Notamacropus eugenii: one gene and its partners. The protein of the gene in region 1 interacts with the protein of each later gene in a biochemical or structural test. Links are inferred from orthologs where the notes say so. Each region holds a gene or a part of one and is shown in the gene's direction. Other genes may lie near its edges.

Region 1 (10,740 bases):
TAACTTACAGTTTCTTATGAGAACCATTTGTTCATATCCTTTGATGGGTTTTTGTTGTTGTATATTTCAGTCAGTTTCCAATATATCTTCAGTCACAGCTTTATCAGAAATATTTGACACAAAGATTTTTTTTCTTTGCTTATCAACCACTTCCTTTATCAACTTGGTTGCATCGATTTTGTTTATGCAAAAGCTTTTCACTTTCATGTAACTGAAACTTAACTGGTTATGATCACCCTTATCTGGTTAAGAATTCTCTCTCTAGTTATAGAAACAAAAGGTACATGACCTGGTTCTTTTCTAGTTTTTATTTTTTATGGTGTGAGTTTTCATATTTAAGCATGAATCCATTTTGAGCTTATATCACCTAAGACGTTGATCTAAACCTAACTTGTGCTGAAATGCTTTCAGTTTTCCAATAAGTCCTATCAAATAGGAAGTAATTTAGTACCAAGTAATTTATATTTTTCATTTGATTGAACACTGGCTCACTGAGTTCAATTACTTCTAATTCTTCCTTATCTAGTTCATTCCATTGATGTATTTTTCAAAATAAAATAGGCTTGATAATTATTGTTTAATATTATAGTTTGAGGTATGTAAATGCTATTTCCCCTTTATTCCTACTTTTTATTTTTATGATTTCCTTTAAGATTCTAGTTTCTTTGTTCCTACAAATGATTACTTATTAGTTTGTTTAGCCACAATTTTTTTAATTAATTAATTTGTTTTCAGTTTTCTACAATCACTTCCATATATCTTAGATTTTCCCCCCTTCCTTCCCCTCCTCCTCTCCCTCTCCACTTTCTCCCAAAGATGAGATGGCATGCAATCTTATGTAGGTTTGCATTCTTATTAAATACATTTTCACCTTTATCATGTTGCATAGAAGAATTAAAATGAATGGGAGAAACCATAAAACAAAACAAAACATAACACAAGAAAAAGTGGTCTGCTTCATTCTGCAATCCAATTCCATAGCTCTTTCTCTGAATGTGGAAGGCATTTTGCCTCAAGAGTCCACTGGAAATTTTTTAGGTCCTTGCATTGCTGTGAAGGGCTAAGTCTACCATAAAAATTCCCCACACACTGTAGTTGTTGCTGTGCACAAAGTTCTCCTTGTTCTGCTCCTTTGGTCAGCATCAGTTCATATAAGTCCTTCCAAGCCTCTCTGAAGTCTTCCTGTTCATCATTTCTTATAGCACAATAGTATTCCATTATATTCGTATACCACAACTTGTTCAGCCATTCCTCAGTTGAAGGGTATCCCCTCAATTTCCAGTTCTTGGTCACCACAAAGAGAGCTGCTATAAATTTTTTTGTACATGTGGTACCCTTTCCCATTTTTATGATCTCTTTGGGATACAGTCCTAGAAGAGATATTGCTGGGTCACAGGATATGCACATTTTTGTAGCCCATTGGGCATAATTCCAAATTACTCTCCAGAATGGTTGGATCAGTTCACAGCTCCACCAACAATGAATAAGTGTTCCAACTCTCCCACATCTTATTCAACATTTATCAGCTTCCTGTTTGGTCATGTTAGCCAGTCTGATAGGTGTGATGTGGTACCTCAGAGTTGTTTTGATTTGCATCTCTCTAATCAATGTGTAGCCACAATTTACATTTCACATACTTGGTTCCCCTGCACCACCATCACCACCAAGACTTCTCTTTTCAAGGTAAGCTTCTCAATTTATTCAAACATTTTTATATACTAAGATTTATAGATTCTTTTTTATTTTAGTCACCTTTGTTTATATACGCTCTTTGTCAATGCCCCCTTTAAACTGGAGTACCCTGAACTAAAAACAACACTATAGATGCAGTCTAACCAAAACAGAAAAGAGTGGAAATATTACCTTTAAAAAAATAATGTTAATTAATGAATTCTAAGATTTAATTAGGATATTTTGGGCTTTTTTTTAGTAACCACATCACACTGTTAGTTCATACTAAACTTCCATTCAACCAAAATACCTATATCATTGCCAGATTTTCTCCATCTTGCATTTGTATTGATGTTTTGAATCTAAACTTTGAACTTATAAACTTTATCTTCATTAATTTGGGTCTCTCTTTTAAGCCTATCAAAATCAATTTTAATCTTAATTCTGTCATTTATCAGTCCATCTCAGGTTTTCATTGACTATGCATTTGACAAGCATACCTTCTAGATCTTCATCCAAATCTTTAACAAAAAATATCAAATAAAACAGAAACAAGCATTAGAGACAAGTAGCATGGCAATGAGAACAATTTTTGCTGACTGGTATGGAACCATTGATAAACACTCTTTGGATCCTGCCATTCAGTCAACTATGAACATGACTTACTCTACTAATACTCAATATATTTCCCACCACACCAACTACTAAAAGTGACCTTTAACTTCTAGAACTTAAGAAGTTCAGTAGGGATTCTTCTCATCCTTCTATTAGTATCAGAAGAGGGTGTTGATACAGTGTTCCAGGTAGGAGTGTACATAGTAAAGCAGAGACCAGTCGCATACAAAATGACTGTCCGTGGATGGCTGGAGTTGTATCTGATGGGCTCTTAGCCTTCTTATTGGAAGGACCCTATCCCTCAATCTGTTAGCTTTTTCAAGGATCTGTTGGGAAGGATGGAGTTGCACAGAGAGTCCTGAGCAAATGTTTAATAGTTAGAGATTTCTTGATAGGTTTTTTTCAATTCAGAGGTCTTTTCACTCTAATTCTTTCTAGATCATACATCATGGAATTTTAGATCTGGAAAGCTCAGAGATGGTAGAGACCTTTCAGTTCAACTCTCTCATTTTACAGATGAGGAGACTATAAAGTTGAAGTGACAAGTCCAAGTCCAAGGTCACCCCAGCTTCCAGCCAATATGTTTTGTTGTGTCACTGAGAGCTGTTTGGAAGGGAAGTCTGTGAGAGGAGTAATGTGTACATGGATAAAAGTGGTGGTTGGAATGAGAATGGAAAGAGACTGGTGAAATTTTTTAACTGACAACTATTAGCTTGGGGAAGTAGATTCAGGAAGTTGGGATCATGGTATAGCTTCATTCTGTTGTACCTTTATATTATTCAACCTGATTTTTTAAAAACGTGTTCAGGAGATGTTACAAAGGTGAAATCAGTAGGCCCTAGCAACAGATTAGATGTAGGGGTGAGAGATAGTGAGAAGTTCAGGATAATTGTGAGCCTGCAGAATTGGGAGGATGATGTTACCCTCTACAGTAATAAGGAAGGAAGGGAGGGTTTAAAAGGAAAGATAATAAATTCTGTTTTGGACACGTTGAATTTAAGATGCCAACTGGACATCGAATTGGAGATGTCAGGAAAGCAGTTGGAGATTCAAGACAGGAAGTCAGCAGAGAATTTTGGGCAGGATAGGCAGACCTTCAAATCAGCAGCAAAGAGATGGTAATTAAATCTATGGGAGATGATAACTAGTTTAGAGGGAGAAAAGAACTCAGGATGGAATGCAGAGGGATAACTACAGTTAGAGGGCATGCTCTGGAGGAGGATCCAGCAAAAGAGACAGAGAAGGAATGATCAAATAGATGGAAGGAAAACCAGGAGAGAGTCCCAAACACCTAGAAAGAAAAGACTATCAAGGAGGAGTCATCAAAAGTGTCAAGGGCTGCAAAGATGCCAAAGAGAATGAGGATTGAAAAGTGCGTTTGGATTTGACAATCAGTGGGAGTCAATTTGAGCTGTCTCTTAGCATGCTCCTGAAGGAGTAGGCCTTTAGGACAATCTAGAACCTGAGGAGCCATAATTTTCAACCATCCCAGCCCCAAAATGTACAGCTCAGGACACGGAGACCCAGAGAGAGCCAATAACTTACCCACAGTCACATAGTTTTAGTAAGTAGTAGAGACAGATTTAGAGTGCAGATCCAGACTCTTAAGTTTAGCACTCTTTCCACAACACCATGTAAAACTGACCTAAGACTTTGGGACACTGCATATCAGAATCCATCAACTCTTAATTAAATCAAGATGGAGTCTGTGGCCTTGTGCTACATATGTGCATTATACACAACAGATGCAAAATAAATGGATGTTGAATGAATATTTAACAAGCAAATATGAGATTTCATGTATCCAACCCCAAGAATTGGCAGAGGTGACCCCCAATCTTCTTGACTTTTTTCTCCAGGCCCTTTTGTAGGAGTAAAGGTGGGAAGACATGTGGAATATGGCAATGGTTGAAAAATAGCCCATTGCCTAGAATGCTGTCAGATTAGGGTAGAAAGGTCTGAGCACCAGTTGCTGATAGAAAAGGGAGTGTATACGAACCTTATGGGACAAGGAGAAGAGCTGTCATATTATGGGGAATAAGGGGTCTCTGGATGAGGAGCACCCCTCCCCCCAATAAAAATGTAAATACTCCTAGGAGTTCTGTTATCCATCAATTACATCTCAAAGTAAATGCTTGTATTAGACCGACTATTTTGACCAGGCAGAGAGGACAAAGAAAGGACGAGCAATGCCTTTTTAGCCTGGTTTTTAAGGTCTTCCACAATCTTCCTCCAAGTTACTTTTGCAACTTTGTATCTCAACTTCTTATACTCCAGTTAAGCCAAATTGCATCTTTCACCACTCTATCTCACCTGCCTTTCCACCCTCTATGCTAGTGATCACATGGTCTTTCATGAAGGCAATGGCCTTCCTCACTCTCATCTCTGCTGTCAATTCAGGTACAAAAAGCACAGAATTCATCAAGAGAGAAGGGGTACTGCCAGCACCACTCTGAATGAGTCCCATCCTGTCTGGGCCAGTTTGTCTTTAAAATGAGGAGATTAAGCTTGATTTTCTCCAAGATACAAATCCCTTTGATCTGTTTATGTCCCCTATCTTTTTTTTCCCCACTGTTTCTTCCCCATTAGAATCTAAGTTTCTTGGGACAGAGTTTTGTCTTCCTCCAGCTCCCTGCACTTAATACAGTACCAGGTATATAGTGAGCTCTTAAGAGATGCTTGTTGACAAACTGTCTTTAGAGAGGTCTTCCTCCAATCTTTCCAGGATCCCTCCAGTTAATTAGAGCTTTCTTTTCCTGAATTTAAAGTCCTCGATTTTTTGCACTTTCTCATATTCTAAAACTTATTCTAAGTTTTTCTAAGGTTCCACGCCCCTGGAGGGCTAAGTAGGGGTCTCCTTCATTTTTAAACAGGTACTGGAAAACTGGAAATCAAGGAGATGCCCATCAACTGGAGAATGGCTGAACAAGTTGTGGTATATGAATATAATGGAATACTATTGTGCTATAAGAAATGAGGAGTAGGAAGACTTCAGAGAGGCCTGGAAGGACTTATGTGAACTGATGCTGAATGAAAGGAGCAGAACCAGGAGAACTTTGTACGCAGCAACAACCACAGTGTGTGAGGAATTTTTCTGATAGACTTAGTCCTTCACAGCAAAGCAAGGACCTAAAAAATTCCCAAGGGACCCTTGAAGCAAAATGCCTTCCACATTCAGAGAAAGAACTATGGAATTGGATCCCAAAACGAAGTGGACCATTTTCTCTTGTGTTGTGTTTTTTATGGTGTCTCCCATTCATTTTCGTTCTTCTGTGCAACATGACTAAGGTAAAAATGCATTTAATAAAAATCTATGTCTAGAACCTATATAAGACTGCACGCCCTCTTGTCTTTGCGAGGAAGTAGAGAGGGAGGGGGAAGGAGGGGAAGGGAGAGGGAAAAACTAAGATATAAACTAAGATAAAACTAAGAGATGATTGGAGAAAACTGAAAACAAATCAAATAATTTTAAAAAATAAACAGGTACTGGATGGAGTTGCTGGCTTGGGGGATGGGGGGCGGGAAATAGAAGCTGGATTAGGAACTAAAAGCCGCAGCCAGGAGGACTGGGGATCCAGTTCTTAACAGTCTTTCAAAGTCAAGGAGCACCAGACTTTGGACTCCTAACGTGGGAAATCCAGGAGCGAGCCGGGGAGCCTCGCCTCTTCCAGGAATTGAACGAGGCAGGGAAGAAAACCTGGCTAAGTCCAACGCAAAGACATCTCCAGGCGGCCGGGGCCCAGAACCCGGAACATCTCGGTAGCGGGCCGGGCCGGTCCCTCCCCGCCCACGGGATGTGGGCGGTCTCCGGGGCAGTGCTCGCTCCGCCCTTCCAAGGTCCCTTTGGGCCCCGGGGGAGCCGGGTCCGCCTCCAGGCCGGCCTAGGCTCCGCCCCTCTGCTCTTTCTCGTCTCGGCGCCCTGAGCGCAGTGTAACCCAGCCCCCAGTGAGTGTGTAGCCCGGCCCGCAGCGTGTAGCCCGGCCCGCAGCGTAGCCCGCAGTGTGTAGCCCAGCCCGCAGCGTGTAGCCCGGCCCGGCTGGCGCCGCAGAGCCGTGTGTTTGCAGCGTCTCCCTCCACCCGCTCCAGGATCCCCGGTGCTCACGGTAACCCCAGCAGCCCTCCCTCCCTCCCCCCACACTGTCTCTTTTCTCTACTGTATGGGCTTCCCGCCTGGCAGCCTGCCCTGCCTCGCTGACCTCCCAATCCTGGGGCCACCGGGCCTCTGTCCCCAGCCCCGCTTCTAACGTAGCACCCCCCCTTTTCTCCACGATAGCCTTCCGCGGCTTTCCTGGGACTGCCTGGCCTTTGGCTGTCTGATGGAGTTAGTCCCTGTTGGTGACGGTGGCATTTTTGTAACCTCCTGGAGGGTATGGGCTGGGATGAAATTGACACTGTATCCCTACCAGGGAAGGCTTTCTTTCACGGAGATACATCTTGATACACTTTTGCTAAGTTTCATAGTATATATAATCATAGCTAGCCTTTATGGCCGTATTTTAAGGCTTGCAAAGCGCTTTACATATGTTAATTAGAGCCTCACTATAACCCTGGGAGATGGGTGATATTCTTATCCTTTTACATATAATAATAGATAGTAGATATTCACAGAGCTCTTTGAAGGTTTGCAGAATGTTTTACAAACCTTTCATTTGAGCCTCACCACAGTCCTGGGTGGTAGGTGCCATTATTATCCCCACTTTACAGAAGAGGAACATGAACTGTAACAAAGATTACAGTGATTGGCCATGCAGATAGTGTCAGAGCAGAATTCTAACTGATAGTCGACTTACCTAGTCAGGACAGGAAGAGATCTTAGAAACTTGAAACAGAAAGAACATGAGAGATCATAGGATAAAGATTCAGAACTGGGAAGTAGCTTGGGCATCTGGGGAGACCAGCCTGCTTATTTTTTACAAATGAAGAAATTCAGGCCCATCATGGAATTGACTCTCCTAAATTCACCCAAACAATATGTAATAGAGCTCCTTACACTCAGCCTTTACAAATGATTTAGTTTCACTGTATGACAGATAAGAAAACTGAGACTCAGAGGACCATAGGATTATTAGAGCTGAATTTTAGACATGGAAAGAATTTTGGATTTGGAGTTGAAGGACCTGGGTGGGAATCCTGGCTCTACCCAGGGAGGGGCAGCTAGATAGAGTGCTGAGCCTGGAGTTTAGAAGACTTGAGTTCAAATTTGGCCTGAGACACTTACTAGCAGTATGACCCTGGGCAAGTCACTTGACCCTATTTGCCTCAGTTTCCTCATCTGTAAAATGAGCTGGAGAAGGAAATGGCAAGTCACTGCAGTATCTGTCCCAAGAAAATCCCAAATGGGGTCACAAAGAATCAGATGCGACTGAAAAACAACTTACAACAGTCTATCATGTAATTCAAGTGTGACTTTGGCCAAGTCACTGGGCCCACTCCTTGGGCCTCAGTTCTCCATCTGTAAAATGAGGAGGTTGGACTCCATGACCTCTGAGATCCCTTATAACTAAATCTATAGTACTTTGACCTTAAACAATCAACAAAGGAACATTTGTTAAGCATCTGCTTTGTATTAGGCCAAGCACAGAGGTATGTGCTGTGGATACAGAGACTACCAAAAAAAAAAAAATAGCCCCCTACCGCTACCCTTCAAGAAACTTACCTGACTGGTATGGACAAGGGGGTTGGACAACTGGAATGTAGGGTACTAGACCAGTGATATTACTGTACAGAGAATTCCCCTCTAAGGAGTCTCTACCAATGCAGGCTGGCATCTTCTCTGAAATTTACAGTCTTAGAAATTAGCTCAGGGCATGAGAAGTTAAATCCTTTCCCTGTGGTCACACAGCCTGTGTGGATCAAGAGCAGGACTTAAAATGTAGGTCTTCCTATTTGTGAGGCCTACTCCACTGTACCATGTTTCCTCTGCATGTATAAGTAAATACAGTATATATGTAGGTGTATATGCACATATATTTGTTGTTCAGTGGTATCCGACTCTTTGTGACTCCATCCTGCTATTGTATCTTTTAGCATTTTAATACTGTCCATGGGGGTTTTCTTGGCAAAGATACTGGAGTGGTATGGTATATTCTTTCACGGTAGGCAGGCTTTAGGCATGGGTTCTAGTGATAGCTTTGTTTCTGTTCATAGGCACCATATTCAGGAAAGCTTATGTAAGAAGGTTCTCCTTTCCCAGGATATCTTTTTGGCTGTTGCAAGGTGCGAAGCCAGGTGGAGTTGGAAATAAGATGAGACTGAAATATGTATAGGTGGAGTCCCACACAGATGAAATCATAAAGCTTAGAAGTATTGTAGCTTGTCTAATCTAAACAGTAATAACTTATCTTTATATAGCAAAATCATCATTCTAGTACTTTCCTCATGACAACTGTGTGAAGTAATTAGGGCAAGTATCTTTATTCTACAGAAGGGGAAACTGAGACTTGGAAGTGAAGGCACATGCCCAGAGTCACCCAGCCAGTAATTCATAGAGCCATGACTTAATCCCAGGTCTTGTCTCCAAAATCCCCTTTTAACTTATTGATTAAACACCAGTTATTCCCTAAAATTAATTGCTAATTCATATATACAAAGTATTTTTGTGTTACATTAACTTATTTGAGCCCTGAAATCACCCAGTGAGGTAGATAGGGCAAAAACTGCTACCTTTTTGTAGCTGAGGGAACTCAGGCTCAGCCACTCCCCTAATAAAGAGGCAGCTGTAATCTCTTCTGACTTTTTCTTTCACTAACTTCCAGTAGACTATTCCGCCCGAGGATCCGGGAATTTCTTGGCATTGCAAATTTAAGAGCCCTCCTGCCACAAGGAAGCTCCTTCCAGAATGTGGGGCTTGTCTTGGTGAGTCAGACACCAAGAGTTCCATGGAAGCTTGTAAAGACCCCTTAGTCAGGTGCACGTGACCTGGACCCCTCCTTTTATTGAGCATGAATTCATCATGAGCACCTCCCAAGGAAGCCAAACTCGGCATTAGGAATGGAGGAGCCTGGTGTCGGTTGAGTCAGGAGGAGCAGTCTGCTCCCCTCCTTTCTGGATAGTGGAGGCCATCTGTTCAGTTGTTGTAGAAAAGGAGTCTTACCAAGCTTTGACTTCCTTTTCCTTCCTGTGGCAAACCCAGATATATTTTGTTTGTGTATTTACCCTTAAGTTTATTCTTTAAAACCACGGGACTTCTTGAACCTGCATTCTTGGACATGGAGCCTGTTCAGAAATTCCCTTGCTCTCATTAAGGATAGGAAAATTGATTTTTTTTTTTAACCCCATGTGCCTAAGCATCAACCAGATGATGGTTTCCTAGATGAATTTGAATCCAGTTCAGCAGACATTTATTAAACACAAAACATTCAGAGCACCATGGAGGAGGTATGCCGGGTAATACAGTATGCAGAGAGACTCAAGTCTACCTGTCCAACCTTGGGAAAGCCTCATCACTTCTCTGGGCCTCAGATTCCTCCTCTATAAAATGAAGGGGTTTCTCTGGGTGACCTCTAAGGTTCCAGCTGTAATTCTGTTATTTTTTGAAATAATAACAATAGCCTTTATTTACGTATTTTCACTGATGAAAACATATTTTCCTTACTTCCAACAAACCTCTGAGGTATATAATAACAGGAGATCCTTGTTTTCATGAAGCATACATACTGGTAAAGCCAGCTACAATAGATCTCATTGGGTAGAGACAGAAAAAGTAGCTAGATGGTGCCATAGTGGCTTGGAGTCAGGAAGACTCATCTTCCTGAGTTCAAATCTAGCCTCAGACATTTACTAGCTATGTGATCTTGGTCAAGTCACTTTACCTGTTTGCCTCAGTTTCCCCATCTGTAAAATGAGCTGGAGAAGGAAATGGCAAACCACTCTAGTATCTTTGCCAAGAAAACCCCAAATGGGGTCACAAAGAGTCAGACATGACTGAAAATGACTGAATAATAAAAATAGAAATGGTCACCAGAATTATTTTTCTTCTACTTTCTACAAAACTATTGAATTTTTAATCAGCTAACATGGAAGCCCTTTGAGTCAAGTACAGTATTTTATTACTTTGTGAGTACTAACTAGCTAGGGAACCAAAGGACCTGAGTTCAAATATGGTTTCTAAAGAGAGAATCATGTGATATTGGATAAGGCTTTTAATTTCTTTGACCATCAGCTTTCTTATCTAGAAACATTAAAAAGTTGGACCAAATGGCCTCTGAGGCCCTACCCAACTGGTGATTTATCATCCTGTGACCCCATTTAAAAACAATAGCTCACACCAGGCCCCAGAAGTCATTTTTTTCACCCTCTGGTACCTTTATACATAAAATGTCATTCAGATCACTGAAACATCTTAATACAGTTTTTAGTCAGCACCATTAAACGGTACTTTGGGGACTGTTTGATAGTATGGGAAGGCACTGGATCTGGAGTCAGAAGATCTGAGTTCAGATCCCACCACTGACA
Region 2 (10,187 bases), on another chromosome or scaffold:
ATTTGTGTTAATTCCTCACTCAACTTGAATAAGATGTGAGTTTACCAGCTCTGTTCCTTCTGGTGAGATGGAGGACTACCAATAGGCCTTATCAATTACCCTGACACCTCCTCTTAACATCTTCCATTTTCACCTGCCATGCCTCTCTATAACCTCAATACTCCCAGAACTGTTATCTGACCTACTGATGCAACCTACGGACCCTTGGGCCTTACTAGAGTTGAACTGGCTCTAGAAAGACAGCTAGGTCTTTCCATTAATTCTGAAAGGACTTCCTTTAATGTGTCGTTTCCCCCAGTAAGAGTACGATCTCCTTGAGAGTAGAGAATGTCTATTTCTATTTGTATCCCCAGCATAGTGATTGGCACATATTAAATAAATACTTAATAAATGTTTTTTCATTCAATCACTGTGATTACAAATGCTTTTCAAAGATATTTGATGCAAATATTTTTCTAATTTACTTTCTTTTCCTAATTGCATTTATTTTGTTCTTGCAAAAGCTTTATATTTTCATATAATTGAAATTATCTATCTTTTGTAATAGTTTCTATCCTTGTTCTCGCAATTTTCTTTTTTTATGTGAACTTGACAATATCAACAAACCTAAACATTACTGTATAAAAAGAACAGAATCATTTATGAAACTGTAAATCTCTATCATTTGGATTTTTTAATTTAAATTTTCATTTTAAAAGTATTTATTAAATTTAATGTTTTAATACCAACATTGTCCTGTCTATATCCCCTTCTAAACTTATCTCTTCTATAGATTAAGAAAAGCTTATTATCATCAATAGACATGAATCTTTCCCCATATAAAGGTCAGAAAATGAAAATTGTATGTGAAACTATGAATCTACTGAATTTTTAAAATCATGTATTAAATTTAATATGCTAATGCCTTTATTGCTCTGCTTGTATGTGTCCTCTTCTGAATTTCCTTTTACTCTCCTTTGTGTATTTTTTAAATGTTTCATTGATTTCCTTTTCTTTTGCATTTTTAATATTCTCCCCCATCTTCAACTCCACCCCTCCCCCAAGTGAAAACCTTCCCTTACAGCAAATAAATACAGTGAAGCAAGATAAATCCACACATTGGCTGTATCTGGAAAATGGATGTCTTATTCTGCACCTACAGGCCATCACCTCTGTCAAGAGATAAGTCAAATGCTTTATCATTAATCTTCTGGACTCTTGATTAATCACTGCATTGATAAGAATTCTCAAGTCTTTCAAAGTTGTTTTGCATTGAAATGGTGAAACATAACTGTATAAATTGTTTTTCTGGCTCTTCTCATTTTGTTCTGAATCCATTCATACAAGTTATTTTTATAAGGCTTTATTTTCTGAATCCATTCCTTTCATCATTTCTTACAACACAATAATATCCCATTACATTCATATACCATAATTTATTGAGCCATTTCCTAATTGGTATATCCCTTGTTTGGTTAGGAATTTCTTCCATTAGTCATAAGTTATGGAAAGGCCCTTTACATGTAAGTTTCAATGTTTTACATGATCTTTATCTGTAAAATGATGGGGTGGGAGTAGATGATCTCCAGAGCTAATCCTAACTCAAAATCCTCTTGGGCTAATTCCTTTCCAGGCCATTACTTGAATCCCACTAACTTGAATCAATTGAACAATTTACTGTTCCATAAATATATCCTGCCCTCCATGCATCTGCTCATGCTATTTTGACCACTAGGAATTCCTTCCTATCATGTATATTTGTTGAAACTGTACCATAGATATTTGAGAATATGTCCCATACATTCAACTAGACCAGGGGTGACGAACCTGTAGCCCCACGGCCACATGTGGTCCTCTAGGTCCTTGAGTACAGCCCTTTGACTGAGTCCAAGTTTCACAGATTCCCCACCCCTGAACTAGACTATTAGCTCCATGAGAGGAGAGACTCTGTCTTAGATAAATTTTATATCTCATCCAGTAGCTGGCACAATGCTTTATACTAAGTAGTCACTAAATATTTATATCCTGTACATATATCCCATTAAACTGTGTAATAGGTATTGGATCACTGGGATACAGAAATAACAGGGCCCATGATCAAAAGATTTTCTAGTCTTACATCCTCATCTTACAGGTGACAAGAAGTCGGCTTAGAGGGGGTAAAATGACTTGTCCAATATCACACAACTATTAAATAGCAAAACCTCTTGTACTAGTCATCTCTCCTTCTACACTGTAAACTTCTTTTAGGCAGGGAAATTGTTTATTATCTTTGTATCTCACCCAAACTAGATTTTACAGATTAAGAGCCGTACAGGTGACATTTGATTTGAGCTCAACAAGCAGGAAATGCAACAAGGAATAATTTTTAACATTAAAAAGAAAGTCAATATACCTATTTTAAATGTCAGGAAATTTTGCTCTTCAAGACAAATAGTTATTCAATTTGTGATAAGAAAAATGCTACAATAAAGGTTCAATGCATCCAGTGGGTTAATAATCCATGGGGGAAGTGGAGGAAATGACACAATTTTTTCTCCCATGAATTTAATCATCAACAAACAATTTAATATACAAACAACAAAGAGGATTGTTAAATTGTGAATTTATTTATATAGTTGCTGGTCCTGGACAAGTCATTTAACCCCTCAGTGTTGTAAGCAACACTGTTAAGACTATTAAGTTGCTGAGGTAGGTGTCTCCCTGCATTGGCAGGAGTTTCCTCATCTGGGAGTTCCCTCTTTCAATGAAATAACTGATCTAATTTCTGTCCCTATTTTATATAATAAGTATAAGGCCATCAACAAAATTGCTTTGTTTGTATTTCCTGTACCTCCTTCTGTACTATGTTTTTGTCTGTGTGTAAAATATGTGTGGGTAAGCTGTATAATATAATGATATGCTGGCCCATTTGACATAGAGGGTTCTCTGATATGGAATCTGGTCCACTCTATCACTGAGGGAGGCTGAAATTTCTTCCTTTTAAAGAGTAGGAGAAAGGCTTTGCCTTTACCACCAGTCTAGCAAAAAAGGGGTTGTAGGATATTTATGGCAGGATGATCTCTTTGCCAATCTCATATTTCCAGATATAGGTCTAGAATTAGATGCATCAAATATGAGTAGTCTAGGCATTTGAGTTGAAGGTGTTTGGCATACAAGATATTTTCCCTGATTGATCTCAAGGGAAAGGGACACCTTGACTAACACCAATTTAGATTCCTCCTCAAATACTAATTATATAAATTATATAAAAGGCCATCAAGACTAGCAAGTACTTCATCAAAATCATCCAGTAAATAGAAACCTGAGAAGTTATACAAATTAGGATCGGTCTTGAGAGCAAGATAAAAACTTCAGCCCAAGAATCTACTCTTAGCAATCTCTAGGATTGCAAGCATTGGAAGTCAGGGATATGATGGGGGTCAGCTTCCCCTAGTTTGTAGCTCTGAATAAATCACCAGTCCACCATTTAAAAGTCAGCCATCCCTGAGTCTTTGCCTCTCTGGAGGGCAGCTAGGTGGTACAGTGGATAGAGCACCAGTGCAGTAGTCAGGAGGAGCTGAGTTCAAATGTCACCTCAGACACTTGACACTCACTAGCTGTGTGACCTTGGGCAAGTCACTTAACCCCAATTTGTCTCATCCTGGGTCATCTCCAGTCATCCTGATGAATATCTGGTCACTGGATTCAGATGGCTCTGGAGGAGAAGTGAGGTTGGTGACCTGCACAGCCCTCCCTCCCTCAAAACAAAATCAAGTGCAAGTCATCATTTCTCTGATGCCATGGTCTTCTTTGACAAGGAAGGACGAATACACACCTCTCTCCTGAAATGCTCCAACAAGCTGAAGCTAATATGTTACATTCAGTGTCTCCAGCTCAGAGGTCTCTCAGACAATTAGGGGTTACACCTTATTACACATAGGCTGTGCAACACCAAGAGGGCTGCCCTCAGGAAAATCACCCCAGGCTTGGGTGAAAATGGGGTTAAATACACATTTCAAAAAAAAAAAACAAAACACTAAAAAGAAGTTACCTGTGCTAGATAGTGGATAGAGTGCCAAGTCTGGAGTCAGGAAGATTCATTTTCCCGAGTTCAAATCTGGCCTCAGATACTTACTAACTGTGAGACCTCGGGCAAGTCATTTAACCCTGTTTACTTCAGTTTCCTCATCTGTGCAACAAGCTGGAGAAGAACATGGCAAACCACTCCAGTATCTCTGGCCAAGAAACCCCCAAAAGGGGTCACGAAGAGTTGGCTGTGACAATAAAAATGCTTTTTTTTACGAATCCACACTGGCCATATCTGAGATGTTATAATTCCTTCTGCATCTCCTGTTCCTTACCTCTCTGCCCAGGTACGACTGGAAGGTATGTTTCATCATCAGTTTTTTGAAGGCATCACTGGTCACTGCTTTTATTAGAATTTTGTCTTTCAAATGACTGTCATCTTAAACTGTTCTCCTGGCTTTCCTCATTTCCCTCTGCATCCATCAATACGTCTTCAGGGGCTCCCTGAATTGATCATATTCCTAATTTCTCAAGGAGAAGTCATATTCAAGGACATGAACGCACGTAACATGGTCACACATTTATTTACCTGCTTTGTTCCCAGTTATTTGCTAGGTATTCTTGAGCACCTGGGTTCTTTCTTTTTTGGGTTTGATTTCCACAGGGTCTAAGAATCTAACGGTATTTCTGGGTCACAGGCATACACAGCTTGGTAATTTAAGGGAAAAAGTTATCCATTTTTTCCAGAAACACTGAGAAAATTCAAAACTCTGCTAGAGGCGAAGGAATGTACCTATTCTCCCATGGCCTTTCCAACAACTGCTATTTTCCTCTTTCCTCTTCTTTGCCATCTGACGGGCGTGAGATGACGTCCCTTCAATGATTTTAATTAGTGATTTGGAACTTTTTTCCCAAATGATCACCAGCGTCATCCCTGGAGAACCGCCTCTTCACGGGAATGCCATTTCAGCCACCATCCTCCAAGCCCTGAGCTGGCTTTGGGCAGATTCTGAACAAGTATTCCCCCAGGAGTGAAAGCAATGGCCGGACATTATCAAAGTCAGCGGCCATGTGGTCTCCGAGGAATCCCGGGGTCCATTTGCTCTCAATTCAATTCGGGAGCCATCTACAAAGGGGCGGGATGGTGCCTGCCCTTAAGGGGCTTACATTCTACCGCACTCCACAGTATTCCGCGGGGTCTCGCCCCTCCCCCCAGACAAGGCCTTTCACCTCCCCTCCCCCCTCCCCCCTCCCCCCAGACAAGGCCTTTCACCTCCCCCTCCCCCTCTCCCCCCAGCCAGGGGCCTGTCCTCCCTTCAGAGCGAGGATAGCGTCGGCCCAGGCCGGGGGAAGGGGTACGACTCAAACATGTCTCCTGCGGCCGAGTTTTTTCTCAGCCTCGGGCTGGGCCGTGGTGGGGGAGGGGAACCTGGGGCGGGGGTGGGCAGAAATGCCACCATCTCCGCCCGCAGGCTGAGGGCCGGCCGCCTCTCGGCTAGCCTTGGCCAGACGACTAGTTTCTCGGGAGGTTTCCCCGGGAGACCACGCGAAAGCGCGAGCCCAGGCGGTTGGGTCACCAACGGTTTTCCAACGAGAGGCTGCAGGGGGGGGCGGGAGGAGAGGCGGGAAGGGACAGCGACTGAGGGGGGGCAGAGCGGGCGGGGTCAAAGAGAGTGACGGGGAGACTCCGCCCTTCTCATAGAGATCTCTAGAAAGCCGGGCTCGCGCCCGAAAGCACAGGAACGCGCACGCGCGAAGGGGCCCGGGCATTTTGCTGCGTCACTAGCCGCCGCCGCCGCCGCCGCCGCCACTGCCTCCTCCTCTGTCGCTGCCTCCGCCGCCGCCGCCACCTTGCCTCGCTTGGCCTTACCGCCCCTCGTACGCACACGTTCATTCTCTCTCCTCGCGCCCTCTTCTTACTCTTTCCTCCTCCTCCTCTCCCCGAACCTCTCTGGTCTGCCGCGCGGTGCATTGTGGGATCCAGGCCAAGCCCGCCGCCGTCGCCTCCGCCGCCGCTGCCGGAGGGGAAAGAGCGAGGCAGAAGAGAGGCCGCGACCGGAGGAGGAGGAGGCACCCGAGCCGGAGCCGCCCGCCCGCGGGGAGTCGGAGCCGTCCTTGCCGCCTGAGAGACCCAACCCACCCGTTCGCCCGCCCCCCCTACCCTGTACACAATGTGAGTGTGATAGCCCGCTGAGGGGAGGCCAGCCTGAAAAGAGGACGGGAGGCGGAGGCCGCGGCTCGTGGACGGAGCGGGAAACCGACCCTCCCCACAGCCCTGCGGGGCCCAAGCGGCGTGGGGGGGGTGCTACCCCCGCGGGGGGGAAGGAATCTCCCGTGACATCCCCCTTCAGGGTCCTCGCGGGAAGCCGTGGGGCCCCATTCCCAAAATGATCCGTTCCCTTCCCCCATCCTGCGGGCCCTCGCTCCGGGAAGTTCCCCCGGGCTCACCCCCGAGGCCTCCATCTCCAGTGACCCCGTTCCTGCCTGAACGTGCCTCGGAGGGGAGGCCTTTCCTCCGCCGGCTCCCCCGGGATGCCCCGTCGTGGCAGCAGGCCATGTGCATTGGGGGCAGGAGGCCCCCGGAGAGGGGGGTGACCACGAGTTGGGGGCCCCATGTGGCCTGCGGACCGGAGCAGGTAGTGCTGGCCACGTGCAGGCCTCCCCACGGCGGGCCCGTGGCATCTTGACCTAGTCCGGTTACCTGTGTCACCCTGACATGGTGTTGCCCCCCAGGGGGGCTTGGGTACTTACTTTTGGCCCCCCCATGCTTCAGCGTGACTGAGATCCCGAAGGGAGAGTAGGGGCAGTCTGCACCAGACAGTTTCCTGACAGGGAGGAGAGTTAACTGCCTAACAGGTATTTTACACGTGTTTGACCCAAAGGACTATTGTGGAGTTTTACAGAGATAATATACTACCTTAAAATTGTAGGCAAGGTAGGTGTTCCTTCCTTAAATCTCCGTGAGATGTGTAGATCTTAAGTCTTCAGGGGGTAATTTCTCAAAGGTGTGTAGGGGATGGGTCACAGATGCCCATGCTGGAAGTAGAAGTTTGAGTAGAACAAAGGGAAAAGGCTTCACCTCTGGAATCTTCTACATGCAAAGTCTAGCATTTTTCTCTGCTTCTCCACTTTGTGGATTGTTCACTTTGTGATATAATTAAGTTTAATACTAACTTAGACTAAAATTTAGTAATTGAGTAGTAGTTGTGGATTTCAGATTTAAATTTCTTTAAAAATTAAACTAATTCCTCAAAGGCATCCAACACTTATTAAAATGACATGCATTTTAATTTTAATAATTTTAATGACATGCAGGGTGTAGCAGAAAAATGGTCCGGGAGACTAACATAAATAAGACATAGCATCCAGTTGATTGAAAACATTGTGAAGGGAGCTTGAATTATCACAAAAGGGGTGCTTTCAGAGTGTGGAATTGTTTATGGCTAGAAAATTTAACTGCATGTATGAAACTTTTCCCGCTTTTGTAACCTCACATTTTAAAGTACCCGTCTTAATTCAATTGTATCTTTAATTCGTAGAATAATAGGAATTTTGATTATGCAACAGTTACAGTTAAAAACACAGGTTTTTAGGAAATAACAATAAATTCTTGTCATTGCTGTTCAAAATCTCTAGTTCATCTAGCATAGAGTTGTATCCATTTTGAGAGCCAAGGGTTTAACGTGAGTTGAGGAAATTTGCAGATAAAGTTTTAGTAACCAGATAGTCTAGAAACAAATACTCAGTTAATTACCGTTTGACTTAGCTGCATGTTCAAAAAGTTTTTGAAACTAGTTTTTAGTCACCTATGCAGTGGAGGAGAGAAGAAAGAACCTGTAAATAGATGAAACTTGGATAAAAATCAAGATAGTAATCAATATTCCAGGAGGCATACCTTGAAATGAGTGTATTTTACAAAACTAATGGCTTCAAGTTTTCTAGTTTTTGAAGAAAAAAATTTATGTTTTTGATTTTGTGACTTCTTCAGGGATGTGAATTTATAAAATGAATATTATGATTCAGTTGAATTGGAAGAGACATTTTATGGATCATCTACTCTTAGGAGGAATAACATTGATAAGGCTTCATTTGCCTTATAATGAAAAACAAAAAGAAGGAAAAGGGCAATGGGGGGGGGAGGTCCTACTCAAAATAAGTGGTAGTGGTTGCCCAGCCATTTGGCTTTAAATATTTTAATCAAAATAAGTCTTATTTGTCTATTTCTGTAAGGTGCTCAGAGGTCACAATACAGTATCATTTAGGGAAAGCAGTTAATAGCATCATCTTTCACCCATGGAAATGAGGACCCAGAGAAATTTTGTGCTTGCCCCAGATCATTATGTTCTTGATGGGGACTAACCAGATTCCCACCCTAGCAGGAAAGGTAGGTTGGTGTGGTAGAAAGAACCCTGAATTCAGGAGACCTTGTTTCAAGTCCCAATTCTACCACTTCCTTTTTTTTTTTTTAATCTGAATTGGAGCCAGCCTAGATCTCTATTAGCTTTCTTCCAGCTCTTTGCAGTTTGAACAGTCCAGGGGTAAGAACACTTAATTTGGAATCAGAAGATAGGTATCCTTATCTGTATTCATGCATCTCAGTCATACCCATGTGATCTTAGGCAAATTGGTTAATGTCTCTGGATCTCAGTTTTTCCTCTTGAAAAATGAAAGGGCTGTACTAGATGGCCGTTAAGGTACTCTCCAGCTCTAAATCTATAATTCTATTGCTTTTTTTCCTTACTCTTGTGGAAATCTGCTAGTCTTTGGTGATTTATAACTTTAAAAAAATGGAACTGATAGCTCCCTTTAATCCTATTATCAGTTTCTTGAGGTAGGGTTCTGGGCATGACTTTTCACTTCTGCTTCTTATATTTAGTTTCATTTATTTCCAAATTATTGGAATCAAATTATCAAACATTGAGCAAAATCTTATTTACCTTAGCAAAAAATTACTAAGTTTGTAAACTTGGGGTCCAGTAACAAAACTCCTCGTATATTCCCTTGTGTCCAAAAAAAAAAAAATAGATCTAGTGTCTATAATATTTGGCTGGGCAAAGATTTCTATTTGAAAGGAGTACTTGATAAAGTTAGGGAAGTTATTAATGTTTTTCTTTCAGGGTTGATTTCCTAGCCACTGTAGCATGGCAACTGATTTTCATACTGTAAACTTAAGTTGTACTTTGATCAAAATGCTTTGGAACTGGTGGATGAATATGGATAACAACATACTTAATTATTTTTCTCATTGGTAGTATTTTCTTCAGATTTCCCAGATTATGGTCTCAATGTGATTGAATCCCATCTAATATAGTTTCCTGAAGAGTTAGTGATTATCATTTGGAAGTCTTTTCAAATTTCAGTGTTTATGTATATTGGTATATGGAAAAAGCTGGCATTTGACCTCTTACTTGCAGTCTCCTTGTATGTAGAATGAGAAGAAAAGATGATCTTTTCAGATTCCTTACACCTCTAAATATGTAATTCTGTGACTTCAGTTTTTAAACTTTTCTATGAAGAGTTTCTAATCATTTCTGATCCTACAGTTGGTGTGCAAAGGAAATGCTGATTTTAATATTGGTTCAAGAAAAATGTTTTTTGGAAACAATATCTACTTAACTCCCTCAAGTTAGTGCTTGAATAACTAAAGGTATTTGCGTTGTTTTATATTATCCATACTGCTGTTCATTCCTTTAATGCAGGTGTAGTCCATCTAGTGATTAACTTTCAAGGATAAATCAGTGTTTTTCTAAGGTTCTAGGAATCAATTATTCATATAGAAAATTTATAAAATGTGTTAGACTTTGAAGCTTTTGATAGTAGTCATACTGTATAGTTGTTGCATGGTATTTGAACCATAAGTGAATTATTTCTTGACGCTTGTATAATCCTAGAGTGGAAGGGGATCTTAGCATCTCTTGAGTCCTCCAAAATATACTGATACCCAGGGATAATTTAAAATGCTGTGATTGAAATAAGCTAACAGTGGAATCATATATTTGATCTGGAAACGTGACCATAGAGAACAACTAAGTAACTAGTCCACAATTTCTTCATTTTTCTTTCATTCCACAAGCATTTATTAAGCACCTTCTATGTGTCAGGCACCATGTTGTGCTATGTTCTGAGAATACAAAGACAAAAAAGTAGTTCCACCCCTCAAGGAATTTGTATTCTGTTGAGAAGAAACATGCACGCATACA
Region 3 (10,592 bases), on another chromosome or scaffold:
ACAAATGGAGAAATTTTGAATGCTATAGATAAGGTCACTTAACTTGGCAGCATACTTTCTAATGATGCACACAGATGATGAGGCTGATATACACATTGCCAGAATTAGCTCACTGTTTGGGGAGCTCCAAAAGAAAGTGTGGGAGTGAAAAGATATTGTTCTGCTTACTAAGCTGAAGAGCTATTGTGCTGACCTCAATGTTGTATGCCTGTAAAACCTGGACAGTATACCAGTGTCATGCCAGGAAACTGAATTGTGTCCATTTGAGCTGTTTTAGAAAGATTCTGAAGATCACCTGGTAAGATAAGGAAGCCAAACTGTCAAACATTCGGACTCTGTTGCAGAGAGCACAACTCCAGTGTTCTGGTCACACTGTTCAAATGCCAAGCATATGATTGCCTAAAAGATTATTTTATGGAGAACTCACATAAGGCAAGTGATTACATGGAAGTCAGAAGAAGAAATAAAAGGACACTCAAGGTGTCTCTGAAGAACTCTGGAATCAATTGTGAGACATGGAAGACACTAGCACAGGACTGCCCAGTATAGAGTGTCCACATCAAAGAAGGTGCTGTGCTCTACAAGCAAAGAAGAATTATGGTATCTCAAAGGAAACATGAGATGCACAAATTTAGAGACATCTCCTCTCCAAATGTTCATATAGACTATTTGTACAGAACCTGCGGTAAAGCATTTTGAGCTTGTATTGCTCAGATCAGCCACAGTCAAACATATAATATCTTGACCCTTAACATAATGATGCCATTTTGATACTTTTCTAGAACAAAGGATGATAATCATCCCACCAACCACCAACCAATAATAAAGAGGAGGGAGAGTTGATTTGAGAACAAGGATAGAAAAACTTAGGGGCTTAAGGTATTGATAACACAACATGAGGTAGCCTTGCAATTTTAAACTACCTCCATAGAAAAACAGTATGCAGACTAGGGGGCGAGTTGTCCTATTGTCTTCTGCAATCCTCAGGCTTCATCAATGTCCATTTCTGGATGTTAAACTTTAAGAAGGGTGATTGTGCGAATAGGAGAGCATTCAGCATATTGAAATTCTGGAAATGCCGCCTTATCAGAAAATTCAAGAAATTGGGGAATGTTTATTTTGAAAATCACAAGGTTTAAAGGAGGAAAGGAAAGGATAGTTATCTTCAAATATTTGAAGAAATGCCATGTGAAATACCACAATCTTGAAAGAATCAAAATTGCAAATAATCCATAGGCCACTGGAAAGAGTCATGAGTGAATATAAAGAGGCTATGACAAATTCCCCGACAATGACTTACTACTTTAAAAATGTCATAATAGACAAAGGGCAGAACTAGGAGCAATGGGTGACATTTGGAGGGAGGGAGATTTCAACCTAAATGATCGAACATTTTAGCAATGACACCTTCCTTCATGCCTCCTTCCTTTCCTAGCTATGAGTCCCAGCTAAAATTCCATTTTCTGCAGGAAGTCTTTCTCAATCTCCTTAATTCTGTGCCTTCCCTCTGAGATGACCCCCAGTTTTTCCTACTTATACCTTTTTTTGCACATAGTTGTTTCCTCGTTGTCCCCCCTTTTAGCCCAGGAGCTCCTGGAGAGCAGAGATGGTCTTTTGTCTTTCTTTGTATCTATCATCCGTGCCTAGCACAGTTGTGCTTAATAAATACTTATTGGCTGGCTGAAATATGGAAAACTTTCTACATTCTGAGTTGTGAGTGGCTTTATCGATAGAATTGCTCAAGAATTTTCCTCTTTAAGGTTTGCAAAACATTTGCTTAAAATAAGCTGGTGAGGTAGGTAATAGGGGATAGCAGATGTGCCTGTGATTTTTTTTATTTGAATTTTTAAATTTTCTACATTTTTTTGGTATAGGGATCTTCTAGAGGAGGAAACTACTTCTAGGAACACAGGTCATTACAGGTTATTACTTTCTCTGTGATTTAAAATCTTTAAAAGCTATCATCTTGGGTACAATTCTTGTGTCAGAAGCTCTTTTATTATAGAGGGAAACTATGTGTACTTTGGGTGGATTTTATCACTATCCTCACAATCCAGGAAATGTATAAGGTGATGTGTGCATGGTACCACTCAGTATACTGAGGATAGATCATTCTCCCTTTCACCTTCTTCTCCACTCAGAACCCATCCAGGCTGTTTCACTGCCACAATAATCTGAATGAGATAGACATCACCAACACTATTCTTCCTCATGAGATGGAAGATCACTAAGCCTTACTATCTGTCCTGTATCCTAAGGTCCTCCAGGCTTTAATTTCTATTCTATCTCTACAGCCTGCAGATCATCCTACCTACTCCTAAGGCCTTGCCATACTGCAGTTGCTGCCCCCTTAGGACATTTAGGCTTTTCTGTATGTCCTGAGTCAGACTTTTTTTTTTATATAGTCTCCCCCAATTAGAACAGGTTAATGTGAGAAGGAGGACTGAAGACTGCCTTAGTTTTTCTACTTGTATCTCCAGTACTTAGTCCAGTGCTTGGCACACAGTAAGCGCTTAATAAATGCTTTCTATTTCATTCATTCATTGCCTTTTTACTGGCCATCCCCCCAGACCTGAAATGTACTTCCTCTTCACATTCATCTCATAAAATTTCTCTCTTTCTTCAAGATATAAATCAAGTACCACCCTCTACATAAAGCCTTCCCTGATTCCACCCCACCCCAACTCCTTGTTCCCTTCCTCCCAAACTATGTTATAATTAACAATAGTGTATTTGTAATTATTCTCTTTGTTCTGCATATACTTATATATGTCCTTGTGTCTAACTCTTTGAGAATGTAAGCTCCTTTGGTGTAAGGATCATTTTCTTTGCATTTGTATCTAATTCTAGTAGACTCTAAATGCTAGTAAGTTCTTCATAAATTCTTCTTGATTAATGATTAAAAAGGAAGAATTGAAATAGAAATCCTTTAATTCACAACTTTTAATCCCTAAGACATGAGTAAATCTCCTGAGTTACTCCCAATCCCCATGATGAGAGCTCTTTGGTAAGGAACCAAGGTTGTTGTCCCATGAGCTGTGTCTTGCTACTGGAAGGGCGAAGGTGATGGGAGTGGGCCAGATTTATATTTCTCTCTCCTTTTTTCCTGCTGTTCCTCGTGGTTCCATAGCAAGGCTATCTAGTCTCCTGACTTCTCAGGGCAGGTTGAGGGAAAATTATAAAATTCTCCAACATTCTAGTGCCATTTCTTCAGCGCAAGATAATCTGTTCACAATCCTTTAACACATCATTGGTTGTTACTACTCTCTTAACCAAGCTCTTCTTCCTCTTAACTTTCTCCAGTTTCTACCAGAAACCATTCTTGCACTACACATGTATACACTGAGGAAACACCATTTCACCTTGTGACTCAAATAAGAAAGGGACAATTATCTTGGTACCCACTACAACTGTATGTTCCTTAGACTCATAGATAGCTCTATGGACAGATCGTAGATTTAGAGACAGAAGGGACCTCAGAGACCATGCACTTTTAATCCTTCATTTTATAATTGAGGAAACTGAGGCAGTCCCAGGAACATTACATGACTTTACAATGTCACACTCACCCGTATTAAGCATCAGAGGCAGGATTTGAACCCAAAGTTCCTCTAGCCTCAGAGCCAAGATGATTTCCACTGTGCCACACCACCTCATTTAGTCCAACCTCTCATTCTTGAAGGAATGTTTTCTACAATGGCTCTGTAGGTCTCCACTTACTAGCAGTTTGCAAGATAAATATTTATCATTGCTACTATGAAAGCTGTCATGCACTGATTTTAATTCCATTATTTATTATTTAGGATAATTGGTTTAGGGGAAGAGTTCTGCAAAGGGTTGCTGGGAAGATGAGCAAACTAGGGCAGAAGATGGCTTGGCTCCCTAGTTTTTTGTCAAAAAAACAAAAAGACAAATTATGTACCTATAGTCATCCTATGTAATCATTTTCTTCCTCTTCTCATTAAGGAGATGAAACCTATTCCCTTTTACATCCCCTTCGCCGTGTTTAGGCTGTCCTTTCCTGCCTTCTTTTCCCCACCATAGCTGACCTTAATGTTTATTTTACTGTTTTCCAGTGTGTAAAAATATTAAGAACAGTTAGATGATGATGTGGATAGAGCTCCAGCTCTGGAGTCAGAAAGACTCCTCTTCATGAGTTCAAATCTTGTCTCAGGCACTAGCTACATGACCCTGGACATATCACTTAACCCCTGTGTGCCTCAGTTCCTCTTTTGTAAAGTGATCTGGAGAAGGAAATGGCAAACTACTCTAGTGTCTTTGCCAAGAAAACCCCAAATGGAGTCACAAAGAGCAGGATACCACCTAAAGGTATTGGGCCTGGGTGAAGAATATGAAAGTTGAATATTCATTTAGACTGTAGTAAACCACCGGATTTTGAATCAGAAGCCCTACATACCATGACTATCACTTACCAGAGATGAAATCTTGGACAATGTGTTGGGTCTCAATATCGTCATCTGTTTGTGACATTTAAAAAAGTTTGAGAGACATAGTTTCTGCGTAATTAATCATTTTATTAATAATACTAGCATTTTATTATAAAAAGGAATGATCCTTTGGCTATTTCTCTTGGACCAAAGATGAATCAGGGTGGTGGGCTCATAGCTTATGTGCCCTTGGCCAAGTGGGTGTTCCTGAGGGTGGCTATCAATTCTGATTGGTTAACAACTAGTATGAGAAAGAATGAATATTACAAAGAGAGCTGGGCCTATTCTAATAAGAGAATGGGAGATATAATTTTGATTATTTCATTTATTTCTCAATTCCTTCGGCAAATAATTTGTCGAATAATTTATCCCCACCCACACCTGTAGAGAGTACAATAGGTTTCCTTACCTTGTATTAAATTTCTTGTTAGGTTGGGTGGGGTCTGAACAAGATTGAGGAGAAAGTTATTTCAATTTCATTATCACAAATGTCCATCAGAGACTAACTTTCTAAATGAGGACTTTAGAAAAGGGGGGAACTCTGGATCTCTCCAAATCATTAGTTATTAATAATAATTTCTCTCATGTTAAATGCAGGTATTAGGCAAGATTAATCAGTCTGTCTGGGGAACAGATTGGAAAGGGGAGAGACGAGGCAAAGAGACCAATATGAAGGGTTTTGCAATAGTCCAGGTAAGAGGTGATAAGATGGTGGTTATGTGAATGGAGAAACGTGAAAGTAGAATCAACCAGGCTTCTTGGTATCCAAGGTTCCCTCCAAACCTAAATCCTATGACACCTCTTTCCAGAACATTTCTATTGTGCGATCAACAAAGGGTGAGGCCTTTCTGCACTGTTTACTTGGAGGTACAGAATTTCAACAAGTCACTTGCGGTGGGCTGCAGCGAGAAGCACAAGCAACTGTTTCCTAGGGGTTACATTGTTTACAAAATGTCTCAACTGATGATCCGAAGTGAGGAAAGGCGCTACTCTTTACCCACATCCCCATATCCCAACTCAGTTTCTTCCACTCATTCATTCCAACCACACCCTCCTTTGTTGTCGTAGCCTTCCCAGATGATGCCCAGGAGAGGAAAGCTGGGTGTAAAACGGACAGAAAGAACACTGTAAGAGCTTGGGGTCGGGAGCCCCGCTGCCACCTCTCATCCTGGAGCTTCCTCTCTCGCCCGCCGCAGCACCCACAGCGCAGTTTGGGCAGGCGCCTGGGGAGGAGCTCCGGCTAGCTTTGTTCTGGAGCTCTCGGCTGAGCCAATGAGCGGGGCGCCAGCCGGCGAAATCACTCGGTAGCCTAGGGAGAGCCGGGCTCCTGGGGTCGGAGGCGCGCGCGCAGTCCAGGGCTTGGGCCGGGGCGGAGAGGTCCATGGGGAGAAGTAGCGCGCGTTCGCGAGGTGGGCACTGCGCGCCGAGTGGAGCGGGAGCTGCCCCGGGTGCTAGGCGGAGCGCGAGCCTGCCCCCGGCCCAGAATCTGGCCCTGGGAGCGCGCGGGTTCGAGCCAGCCCATCGCCGGGTCTGAAGCCTTCCCAGAGCTCCCAGGCAGCTGCCGCCGCCAGCACCACCACGGCGGTGCCCGGGACTGCTGAGCCCTCCCGCCCGGAGCGCGTGCTCAGCCACAGACGGGAAACAAAAGAAGCTGGGATGCGAGTGGGGAGTTTGCAAAAGGAAAGTGAAAGCCGGGCTGGGCGCTCCGAGGCTGTGGCTGGGTGAGAAACGGGTCCTGTCAGCCAGTCCCCCAGGCGCGGCGGAGCGTCATGAGCTCCGGAATGCGGAGTCCTGCCCCGGCTTCCCAAGGCTAGCCTGCCCCGGCCGGCCCCGAGGGGACCAGCCCTGCCGCCATGGCCATAGCCCACCTGGCCACGGAGTACGTGTTCTCGGACTTCCTGCTCAAGGAGCCCACGGAGCCCAAGTTCAAGGGTTTGCGCCTGGAGCTGGCGGTGGATAAGATGGTCACCTGCATCGCCGTGGGGCTGCCCCTCCTCCTCATCTCGCTGGCCTTTGCACAGGAGATCTCCATCGGTAAATATTTGGGGGGTGAGAAGGGAAAGGGGGGATTGGAGGGAGGAAGGGAGGAGCCCCAAGTGCTCGTTTGCCTTATCAGGGCAGATTGGGTCTGAAGGCTTTCCTGGCCTTGGGAGTTATCTTTCCACGCTCTGGTGTCAGTATCTCTGCATGCTCCTGGCAGTTCCTGTAGCTGCGGTTTGGGAGTGCTTTGGTTTGTTTAAAGATTTAATGCACCTTTTGTAGAAATATTTCCCTTTGCCAGATTGCGCCTTAGTGCGTAAGGGCTTATAAGGAAACCAAAAAAACATTAAGTGCCTGCCATGAATAAAGCTCTATACTGAGGCATTAGCTAAGCAAAAAGAAAAGCCAGTCAAATCTTACCCTCAAGGAGCTTCCCTTCTAGCTAGAGAATACTGTGTTCACTGATATGTAAACAAAAGGCATATATAACGTAAATAAGAAGTGTGGTGAAGACACTGACTGTAATTGCAGTCCATTTCGGAAGTCAGGTACAGGTTATTTCTGACTCTGGTCACGGATTGTAAACTTTTCATTTCCTGACAGCCACCCCTACAACGACCACAGCCACTATCCACGCTTACACAGTACATTGCTCATAAAAAACCTGTGAGGGAAGTAGTGCACATGTCGTCTCCGTTTTAGAGCTGAAGAAGGTGAAGTTAAGAAGCTTCTTCCAGGAGCCCAGAACCGCGGTAGAGCTAGAAGTCAAATTTGGGTCTTCTGATCCATTGCAGCGTACTGTATGCTACATAGTGGCTCTAGCATGACTATAATATTTTTAACTTAAGTTGCAGCATGTCCCAAAGTGTTTTTCCAGAATTAAATATAGTCACGCAAAATAGGTTTGACAAGGTTTCTTGAAAATTATTTTTTATGGGACAATGCTGGTCAACACTTCTACCATGTTTTTTGATAATAGGCTCTCAGCCATTAGCACTGTATGGAGCACTAGGGGAATAGAGAAGGAGATGAAATTGACTATTAAAGGGCAGTGGTGATTCTCCATCAAGGGGCATTTATTAAGTGCCTACTGCATTCCCGGCACTTTGTTAGGCACTGTAGATATAAATGACTGACTGAATGAAAAATGTTTTATACTATGTTATACTATACTATACTACACTATACTATACTATACTATACTATACTATACCTGGACTTACTGTACCTAGGCATCTTTTATTTCATTTGATCCTACGTGAGATAGGTAGGGCAATTATGGGAAGGTAGCTACAGGGCAAAGGGCATTGGTTTTGGAGTCAAAAGAACTGAGTTCAAATATAAACTCTAGTGCTTATTACCTGAGTGAACTTTGGTCTCACATAGTGTTCCTAGCTGACTCATTGAAAAATGGGGTTTGGATTCAATGTGGACTCATATGTCCATTCTACCTCTAAATCTTTGATTCCATGATACTCATCTTTCAGGAGGAAATTGAAACACAGAGAGGTTGGGTCACTTGTCCAAAATGAGGAGTTGCTAAGGCTCCCACTGTAAATATGATATTAGAAGAAAACCATTCTCATCTTGTCAGTGTGTGAATGGAGGTGGTGTAGTAGATAGAGTGCCAGGCCTGTGAATCAAAAAGGCTTATGTTTTCAAATTCAAATCTGACCTCCCACACTAATTGTGAGATCCTGGGCAAGTCATTTAACCCTGTTTGCTTCATTTTCTTCATTTGTAAAATTAGCTGGAGAAGGAAATGGCAAACCACTCCAGTATCTTTGCCAAGAAAACCCCAAGTGAGGTATTGAAGATCTGATGTTACTAAACAGTTGACTCTGGTGGCATCAACTAGAAACAGCTGAGCCTTCCAGCAGTGATCATTGTGAGGTTGAATTGGAATACAAATTCATGTGTTCCTGGTATAAAATGTTTGGGTTTCATATGATTCTTTCTCAGACTATTTGGAAATTCCAGCCTTCATTAGAGTCAATTCAGCAGGAATTCTACTAAAGCAATAATTGCTACAGGAAGGAATTGAGAAGAAATTCTCCCATTTTTATGAATCATCAGCTTGCTCTGCCAAATGAAGGAAAAGCAATGAAATGTGGTTAAAATACTATTCAAATGTAAGATGTTTTTACACATATTAATCTTCGGCTCAACAATTAAGTAAGACTGGTAGGCAGGTATTAATATCTGTATTGTATAGCTGAAGAAGCTACAATCTTACCCATCCAATGAGAGACAGTATGGAGTAATGGATAGAATACTGAACCTGAAGTAAGTAAAACTTGGGTTGAAATCTGTGAGAAAGGGTACACATCAGCATAGTAGAGGAGACCTGACCAAGCTGGGATTTGTTCCATAGTCAGGGTGGGGCCTAGAACATTTGCTTGGTCTTGCCCTGATATGGGACTGGCCCTGTTCATAATAAGCATCAGGAACAAAAATTTTCTTGGGCTAACACCTTACTGGCAGATAGTTATTTTAGCTTTCAGGTTGGCGCTGGAAGAATTTTTTTTTATGGATTTTGGATAGTTGGCTAAGGATTTTGTAGTGTGCAAAGCAGCAAAAAGTGTTATCTTTGTTGGATGGATTGGATTATTCACACTGTCTTTCTAGTGAGTTTGTCATTTAGCAACCATATGCCTGGCATGGTCAGCGTGGGACAGAGGGACTTATAGTGATAGCAGGAACAAAGGAAGTTGAAGTTGGGTTTTTCTTCCCAATTGCAAATTCCTTGAAAGCAGGGGCAGGTAGCTAGAGAGATCATTTATTAAGGATTTGCTATGTGCCAAGCACAGTGCTTAAAAGATAGGAAATAGTTATGAACTGTATAAGACTGTGTAGTGAAATACCGAATTTTGTGGTAACCAACTCTATTGGCTTTATAAATGCAGTAATGATAATTCATGGTTATATTGAGCACTCAAGGGTTGCAAAGTGTTTTCTCCACAGGAAGCCCATGAAGTAGGTTGCACTAATATGACACTAGATCTCTAGAGAATCTGTGATTTTTCTTCTATAGATACTCCTGGGGTTTGACGGAGCCTGGTCTTACAGAGAACTAATTATTAAATTTTGAGTGTGCGCATTTCCATCTCTGAAATACAGATCAGGAATTTATTGTTTTGTTGATTATCTAGACTAGAGGTGGGGAACCGCATGTGGCCCTCTAGGTCTCCAAGTGCGGCTCATTGACTGAATTGAAATTTCACAGAACAGATCCCCTTAAAAGAATTTGTCCAGGGACCTAGAGGGCCACATGTAACTTCAAGGCTGCAAGTTCCCCACCCCTGCTAACCCCTCCATCAGACACCTTCATTTCTATTCATGTGCTACTGAACAGAGTTAAAGGAAATCATGTAACTTGCCAAATAGGTCTGTAACAAATTTGTTATCTTTTGATCATGTCTAAAAATGTATGGCTCATTCTGCATCTTGAGTCTATCACCTCCTGGGTCAGGGAGGAGATAGTGTGCTTCCTAATTGATCTTTTGGAATTGTGATTGGTCATTGCATTAATCAGAGTTCTTATCTTTCAAAGTTGTTTGTCTTTACGATGTTGTTATTATATAAATTGTTATTATATAAATTATTATATTATTATTATTGTATTATATAATTATATAAATTGTTCTCTTTGCATCAATTTAAACAAGTCTTCCTAGGTTTCTCAGAAACAATCCCTTTCATTATTTCTTAAGGTGCAATAATATTCCATGACATTCATATACCATCTTTTCTTCAGCCATTTCCTAGCTGATGGACAACCCCTTGGTTTTCCAATTGTTTGCCACTACAAAAAAAAATGACCTTAATTAATTTTGTACATATTGGTCCTTTTCCCTTTCTTTGAGGAGAATTCTAGTATTGTTGAGTCAAAGAGCACTTTTGTTTGTTTTTTATATATTTTGCATAAACTTAAACATGTACATATTGTCTCCCTCAATAGAATATAAACTGCTTGAAGAAAGGAAATATTTATATGTTTATGTTCTGAATAATGTTTTACTTTTTCCCCAATTACATGTGAAAACGATTTCAATGTATATTTTAAAAAATATTGAGTTCTAAATTCTCTCCCTCTTCTCCCTCCCTTCCTGAGATGGTAAGCTATTTGATATAGGTTATACATGTGCAGGCATGCAAAGCATA

The links.
Region 2: of the proteins of CASP7 (region 1) and PTGES3, one has a biochemical effect on the other in vitro, tested with the Homo sapiens proteins (2 studies listed by BioGRID and IntAct). The link is inferred for Notamacropus eugenii from reciprocal best matches to the Homo sapiens genes CASP7 and PTGES3.
Region 3: of the proteins of CASP7 (region 1) and PANX1, one has a biochemical effect on the other in vitro, tested with the Homo sapiens proteins (2 studies listed by IntAct). The link is inferred for Notamacropus eugenii from reciprocal best matches to the Homo sapiens genes CASP7 and PANX1.

Annotation. Positions count from the first base shown.
Region 1 is NC_092872.1:192,053,949-192,064,688, forward strand, and holds the start of CASP7 (caspase-7), read left to right. Parts: upstream 1-5,867; 5' UTR 5,868-6,389; intron 6,390-10,740. UniProt on the Homo sapiens protein: Thiol protease involved in different programmed cell death processes, such as apoptosis, pyroptosis or granzyme-mediated programmed cell death, by proteolytically cleaving target proteins.
Region 2 is NC_092874.1:231,925,286-231,935,472, reverse strand, and holds the start of PTGES3 (prostaglandin E synthase 3), read left to right. Parts: upstream 1-5,717; 5' UTR 5,718-6,158; coding exon 6,159-6,160; intron 6,161-10,187. UniProt on the Homo sapiens protein: Cytosolic prostaglandin synthase that catalyzes the oxidoreduction of prostaglandin endoperoxide H2 (PGH2) to prostaglandin E2 (PGE2).
Region 3 is NC_092876.1:164,528,241-164,538,832, reverse strand, and holds the start of PANX1 (pannexin-1), read left to right. Parts: upstream 1-5,482; 5' UTR 5,483-6,301; coding exon 6,302-6,482; intron 6,483-10,592. UniProt on the Homo sapiens protein: Ion channel involved in a variety of physiological functions such as blood pressure regulation, apoptotic cell clearance and oogenesis.